Oryzias latipes: one gene and its partner. The protein of the gene in region 1 purifies or fractionates together with the protein of each later gene. This does not show direct contact. Links are inferred from orthologs where the notes say so. Each region holds a gene or a part of one and is shown on either strand. Other genes may lie near its edges. The genes, in order: solute carrier family 12 member 6 and stk39.

Region 1 (3,827 bases):
ACTGTGAGCAGGAGGGTAGCAGCAGCAAGAGACCAGCAGCACTGACTTGTCTCTGAGGACCACGCCGTCGATGCAGGCGCCGAACAGAACCACGCTGCTCAAATCTGGACTGGCACTAAGGAAAACAACCAAGACAAACGTAATCAAGAAAAAACAATCAGAACTTCATCCAAGGATACAGACGATGGACGTGGTGAGGATGGCAAAGATGGTTCCGATGGGAATTGAGCGCTGAGCATCCTTCAGATCCCCGGAGCGATTGGAGCCAGCCATGATTCCTTAGGAGAAGAGCAGTTCTTAAAACCAACACCTCTGACAGGAAAACCAATGGAAATTTCTCCAATTCATTTAGTCAAAATAAACATTCAAAACGTCTCTTTTGCCACTTTGGCCAGAGGTAAAGGCTGCACCTGTGACAGACGGGAAGAAGATTCCCACTAGAAGTGTGAAGGAGGTGGTGATGTCCACGAAGACATACGGGAGCTGAATGGAAGCAGGATGAGAGGCCTGAACGGAGGACAGGGAGCTCTTCTCCACCACAGCTCCCTTGGTGAGGTAGGAGCTCCACAGGTTCTCTACCAAGACAGACGGGATAATCACCTGCAAACTTCCCTACATCTCTGAGCACGCTCAGGTACAGAGAAGGAGAACTATCTTCTTAACTATTTCTTTATTGTGCAAAACATCAAAGATGTATTAAATACAAATAAATGTTATACATGTCAATCTCATCCTTTAATTTTTTTCTCTGCTCAGAACATCTTAAACCTTTGAGACCAGAACATTTTCATGTTTTCTCAGGGTGAAGGGTAGGGCTGGATGTCACCAATAATCCCCAGAATCCATTCGATTTTGATTCATGAGAGCCTGAATCAATCGATTCACAATTCTTTCGATTCCTTTGATCCACTTGATTTGATTCAAATCAATTTTGAATTTACAGAGTTTACAGTTCACATACTGTAAAAGTTATTAGTGAAATAATAAACCAAGGACATTGTTACCATCATACAGTGTTACATGGTTTCTCAAACAGAGACGCTCTAACAAAGAAGCTGCACTTTAGTTAATTCAGCTGAAATCCTCTAAATCTCAACCCTCACTCATTTTCGCTGGTGTTCCTCAAGGTTGTGTTCTCGCCCCCCTCCTCTTTATTACCCACCTCCTTTCTAGCAGTTTTACACCATGATTTTTTCAAAGCTTGATCTTTGAAATCTCACAAAATCTCACAAAATCTCACAAAAGTTGCGTTAGGTCATCGCAAAAGATCGATCTCTACTTTTATGGATCGATTATCTAATTTTCAAACTTGGATCGCAGATTAGTAAAAACACTTCATAAAACATCCATTTATGATTAATACAGCACTTTTAAAAGAATAATAATGGTCTGATATGAAAACTAAATGATGCTCAGTTCAGATTCATGGATGTTTACTCCAAATAAATGTAGTTTCTTTCATTTTTTAATTTCTATATTTCCTATTTCAGACTTTTTACTTTTACATTTGTCTTTTTTTATGCAACAAAAAAAGTGATTTGTTTTAATTAAATTCAGGAATGTTTTTTACACCAAAGCAAGCATTTCCTTTAATTTCTCTATTTAATAATCAAGTTTGACATTTGTTCACCTCAATCATACTTTCATGAAAATTGATTTTACAACAGAATAAAATTGAATTTTAAATGGAAAGTTGAAATAATATTTCAATAAAATTTAAATTTTAGGACAAGTTCTGATTTTGTCAGGATTTTAATATACAGATAATGAGTAAAGACTAGATCTGTTTCCTTTTTAATCAAACAATTTGTGAAAGAAGGAATCTTTTTTAACAATTATTTATAATATGTGATGAAAATATCAACTATTTAAAAAAGCATAATTGTTTATAATGATGAAGGATCTTTTTTTGTCCAGATGTTTTCTCACGTCAACTGAATTTCTTGTTGAACTGTTTCGTTTCTTGTCCAAATTGACTTCTTCAGTCTGAGGTGAAGTTGGTCAGGATGTTATCCTTTGTCCTGCTTCTTCTACATAAAAGCAGTCATCAACATCCTTTCAAAACCTTTGGTTTGTAAAGCGCCATTAGGAATACAGTGCTATTACTTTTGAACTTATGGTTTATATAAATAAAAAAATAAGAATTCCCATTGGAAACGGATGGGAGTCTATCAAAAACTACTAAAGGTAATGTTATGTAGCTAGGTGACCAATGACTTCAAATCTCCCACAGGCTACTTGTAAATTGTAGAAAAAACTTTAATGAAATTGTTCACAAATTTGCTAAAAATTGGAGCGATTTGTGTCTCATTGGACCGAAACATTCTTACTGTGAAATAAACTATAGGAATTCTAAATTTTGTTTCCCCACTGTTGCTTTTAGCTAACAGATTAACTTAAGAGCCCACCATACCTGTAATTATCCCGCTTGCCAGCCCTGGGATGCCCTGAATCTGGGAGAATTGGTTGTTGGTGAAGTACTCATCACAGGTTGCGTTCAGATCCCGGCTTTGACAGAAATGCCCCCAGAGATCTGTGGTCTGGTTCTCGGCTGCAGGTTCACGGGTGGGGGGCGAGGCCGGCTCCACTGTGCTGTTTTCTGACAGGGAGATAGAACATTTAGGAGGACGGTTTTTTGGTGGTTCCTGACAGAATGAGACTTGAACACACCGAAGCCGAGGCTAAAGTTGCCTTCAGGTCTCTCTACTTCTTCTCTGTGCAGTTCTGAGATGATCTTCTCACAGTGGTGGTCTGCAACATAGTGGCCGTTGATGGTCCTGTTCCCCAACATGCACACTCTGTAGAAACAAAGTAGCTGTAAGGTCAAGCTGTGAGAATCCATACGTCTTCCTAGAAATACTCACGGGAAATGTGGCTCCTTAAAGGCTGAGACCAGCGCTCCAACATAAATGGAGATGATGGAAATGATGACGCACGCCAGGAAGACTGACGCCAGCTTGTTCACATATTTGACACCCACAAAGACCAGCAGGGACATGAGGAGGAGGCAGATGCTGCCGTACAAACGCATGTTGTTCAGCATGGCTCCCCCGTCGCCGTGAAAGACGGCCGCCTTAGGCACAATGTACAACTGGAAGTGGAGAAAGAGAGTTGAGACTGGATCAGAGAGAGGAAATTGAAAACCTGATTTCTGTTGGTCAAACGCTGATGAAAAACAATAGATTGTTCAGGACTCCAGCACTATAACTCTCCTGCATGAAAGAGTTGCTCCTGCAGGAATGTCAAACTATTGTGTTAATCGCAATGAATTAATTGCAGACAAATTAGCCTGTTTTTTCCCATTGTGTCAATCTCACTTTCATTTTATAACTAATCAATTTTATGTAAGGGATAATTTCTGACAAGGTGTATGTTTTCATAAATTAAAGGACAAAGCGAGCCCTGATCGCGCAAGACATGCTTTTCCTTAAAGTCCATTTATTTCTGATAATGCACTCCTCGAGGGGCATTATTCTGCTAATACCAAAGAAATAAATATAAAAAATCAATTATTAGTACTTTAATCTTGTTATTTTTCGATTGTTGGTGTCTCATCTCCTCCTCCTTATTATGTCTTCTCTCTTTTGTTTTCTGCTGCATCACAGTCTTCAAAATGATCAAATTCAGCAAACAGAATAAAGAAAACAAAAAACATGCATGTCTTTTCTACTGTCTTGCTTTGCGTTAACCTGTGGAATAATGTATGCAAACATATATTATGTTATTGATAAGACATTTGTGGTCAGTTTTTTTGGGGGGATTGCATAGAAACGTGTTTTTTGATGTGTTAAATTAGAACACTATGGACCTGAAGTTTTTTTTTCTTG
Region 2 (3,827 bases), on another chromosome or scaffold:
TGGTTACAGTAAAACAGATGTGGGATCATATAAGTTCGCTTCCTTCCACTTTCTTTCAAGCAATCTTTAATTTTATGTTTAATTATCTTAACTTTGATACGTCATTGTATGAATGTATAACTGATGATTGTAATGTTTCTGTGTATTATCCCTATTTGATTGCTTGAAATAAACCATTTCAAATCAAATTTAAAAAATGACTGCACTAGTCATAAACTACATGTCACAGGCTGACTTTGAGCAAAATACTTACGAGGAAAATGCAACTAGTTAACTTATGCAAATATTTGACTGTCACTACACATCAACATCAACTTTACTACACTAGATCAACACTATCACACAAAAAATAAACAGATACAAAAATATTTATTACACAAAAATCAAAACTGGGATAGTCTTTTAAATCATTGACAGTCCTTCCACATGAGGCTCAGAACACACTTCATTTAGTGAGGGGTTTAGTAATAAAGAAACCTATTTAACATTAAAGACCCTCTTTGATAATTTTTGAGCTATTTTAAAAGCATTCCTTGTTTATTTTTTTTTTTAAAAAGACGTTTTTTTCCAGAAAGAAAACACTTCAGTTTTCTAGGACATAGTTTCTGCAGATCTGTAGTAATTCTTTAGAAATTTGTCTCTGACTTGTGGATGGGACCCTTTATGCAGAGCAACCCCGCCACCCTTCCCCTTCCACAAGCACTGAGCTTGTGGCCCGCCCAGTGTATTTTCTACGTCACAAATAAGCTCCCTTTCAAGTGGCAATTTTTTTTTCATCTGCTTCTGATTCACAACGATTTGAATAAAGTAATGTTCAGAAATGCAATTTGGAGCTTAATTCTCTTTAAATGTGTCCTCCATCATCAGAAAAATGCCACAGAACATGTTAAATCCCCCAAAACACGACTTTTATTGGGGTGGGTCTTTAAATGACTTGTCATAAAAGGAGCAGTGTATAGGATGAAATCATCCAGAGAGACAGAAGTTTCTGTATAAACATAATAAAATAAAATTTGTGATAATATAATCTGTTTTGTATTGACTTATTAGCTAACATGGCGTACTCAAGTGGTCTGTGTCTTCAAATCAAACGAACAGAGCGTGTAAATGGGGCCATTGTGTTAAGCGATAGTGACACATCGTTGAGTCAGCCGGCACGTGTCAGTGGGGGCGCGTGTGCGGCTGCGCGCGCGCACACGCGTGTTCCGTTATTTTCCGGGTTGAGCTCAGTGAGAGTCGGCGGCGGCCGTGGTGCACCTCCCTCGCTGACACCACCACCGAGGAGGTGAGGTCAAACCTGACTGTCTGTCTCTTCCCCCCGCACAGTCAGTCACGGAGGCTGCTAACTAGCGCAGCATCACGGGCATCATGGCGGACCAAGGCGAATCCCCGGTTCCCGTCCTCCAGCCGCAGCCGTCGGTGACAACCAGCTGGCCAATTACCAGAGAGGCGTACGAGCTGCAGGAAGTCATAGGTTAGTACGCGGGGAAGTCTGCTTCTGATCACAGCTAGGGGAAATGATGAGTCGTGAGCGGCGGAAAACGGCCTACCGGCATTTTTATCAGTAAAATGCCGCCTCTTCTGTCAACATGTCTGCGAACCGCATGCATTCAGAGGAACCGAAATGTCACGCGAACAAGTTCCTTCAACCGAACAGGCTGCTCCGTTACAGGAACGAGCACGCGCAGGGTTATTCAGTTAAAACACAATTACTGAGGCTTTCAGCTGCTGTTTGGTGCATCATCAAGTACTTTCTGTACTAATCCAAGAAAACTTATTATTTCTTCTAGTCAGAAATAACTGATGGAGTCTTTTAAAATTATTTTCCTCACAGGAAGTCCTAAAAGATATCTGTTCACGATTAATATACAATAATACAACCAAAACTTGTGTTCGAACTTTACATTTTATTTAAAAGATAACTACATGTTTTAATAAAAAATACTCACTAGCAGCATAACGATTAATCAACTTAATTGATTTATATTCCTGCGGTCCAACCAGATCGATTTGTCAGATCAAGTTTTTTGGAAAATTGTTTCAAAATGAACTAAATGGATATTGGAGAATACCATTTGGATTTGAGGCACAGAGGGTTATAAGGTAAAAACCACCAGAAAACGGTGAATTATGCAGACATGCGACCATACAGTGAGGTAGAATGTTCTAATAAACTTCAGTTTGGATTCATTTTTTGTGGAAAAACAACAGTGGGCTGAACTTTATGAATTTGCCATTAATTCTTGTTTACTTGTTTGTTTGTACACATATTTAATTTTGATTATCTTGCAAGAAACACAAGGAATCTGGAAAACTTCCCCTGCACTGTTCAGTATTTATCTCAGTCACACTGGTTGAATTTTTGTCCTGGTGCGATTTTAGGTCAGTGACTTGGATCAATCAAAATTAACCAAAACCGACCATGAATCATATCAAATTGTTGTTAAAATGACACCCATACTACTTTCGAATATGACATTGCTTTTTTATGTAATTACAGTATTTAGTGTTATTCCATAATAGCTACTGACACGTCTTTGTTTCTAATAATCACAGAGGAACAAGCACAGATTTGAGAACAAATGATCATGAATGTTCACTCACACAAAGGTGATAAACTGTTTTTCCTTGTGGCATTGACTTCCACTGATTTGCAAACAATAGCAAACAATCTACCAGATCAGTGGAAAGCTTTTCTTTCATCAGGTTTTTTACTGTACGTCGAAAAGCATACATGAATGCAGAGTTCTAGTGTGCAGTTTTTGTTTGAAAAATAAAAACGTATTATATATTTGGTCAATATTCACTTCATATGTGTCAATGAGTCACTACTAATAGGAAATAGTGCTGCTGCTGTGAGCAGGTACCCCCACAACTGCCAAGCAGAAATAAAAAAAAAAAACAAATCAGTGATGTACTCCAGGACATGTCTAAGGTTTCAGCTGCTACACAGACAACAACAAAAGCACAGACTTAAACATGAAAGCCGAGGCAGTGGTGCAGACACGAACATGATCTTCCAGCTGTGCGATGTGAGTCCCTCTTGGCTCACCGCTCGGCTGTGGCTGTGATTTCAGGCAGCGGAGCCACAGCTGTGGTGCAGGCAGCCCTCTGCACCCCCAGACAGGAGCGCGTGGCCATAAAGAGGATCAACCTTGAAAAATGCCAGACCAGCATGGATGAACTGTTGGTGAGTAAAACACACATCTCTTTCATTATTATTTTGCTTATTTTTCTAGTCTTTAAATCCAGTCTCACATCCAGAAAATAACACCAAAGTTTTGATCCTTTGCATAATAAATAAAATCTTTTTTCTGCTGACAGAAAGAAATTCAAGCAATGAGCCAGTGCCACCATCCAAACATTGTTACCTACTACACTTCCTTTGTGGTGAAGGATGAACTCTGGCTGGTCATGACGCTTCTGAGTGGAGGTAAGCTTGTTCTAGCTGTGTGAATAACACTTTCACTGTGATAGATTTCAAAATCACAAATTGATCAGCAGCAAAAATAGAGTCACTGCTTTCATCCTGCCTTGCTTATCGTAATTTCAGTCTTTCATAGAGGGAAATTTAAGCTTTTTTAATCTTCAAATAAAAAAAAAAACATTTTTTTTTTCAATTTGTCACAAATCCAACTTAAAATTACTACAGATTCTGAAAAGAAAAAGTTCAGGATTGTTTTTTTAAACAGCATCTGCTCCTGCTTTATAACAATACAGAAATATTCAGAAATTTAATTTGGAGTTTAATTTTATGTATGTCCTCCACCATGAGAAAAAAATGCCACAACATGTAAAAAACACCCAAAACCAAATTTTCATCAGTG

Evidence for each region.
Region 2: the proteins of solute carrier family 12 member 6 (region 1) and stk39 purify together in Homo sapiens (affinity purification with mass spectrometry; 3 studies listed by BioGRID and IntAct, with this or other methods). This does not show direct contact. The link is inferred for Oryzias latipes from reciprocal best matches to the Homo sapiens genes SLC12A6 and STK39.

What each region holds. Positions count from the first base shown.
Region 1 is NC_019876.2:21,363,861-21,367,687, reverse strand, and holds part of solute carrier family 12 member 6, read right to left. Parts: intron 3,092-3,827; coding exon 2,865-3,091; intron 2,799-2,864; coding exon 2,671-2,798; intron 2,600-2,670; coding exon 2,414-2,599; intron 576-2,413; coding exon 411-575; intron 279-410; coding exon 180-278; intron 105-179; coding exon 47-104; intron 1-46.
Region 2 is NC_019879.2:21,553,372-21,557,198, reverse strand, and holds part of stk39 (STE20/SPS1-related proline-alanine-rich protein kinase), read left to right. Parts: intron 1-1,165; exon of another isoform or gene 1,166-1,326; 5' UTR 1,327-1,368; coding exon 1,369-1,474; intron 1,475-3,077; coding exon 3,078-3,190; intron 3,191-3,324; coding exon 3,325-3,433; intron 3,434-3,827. UniProt on the Homo sapiens protein: Effector serine/threonine-protein kinase component of the WNK-SPAK/OSR1 kinase cascade, which is involved in various processes, such as ion transport, response to hypertonic stress and blood pressure.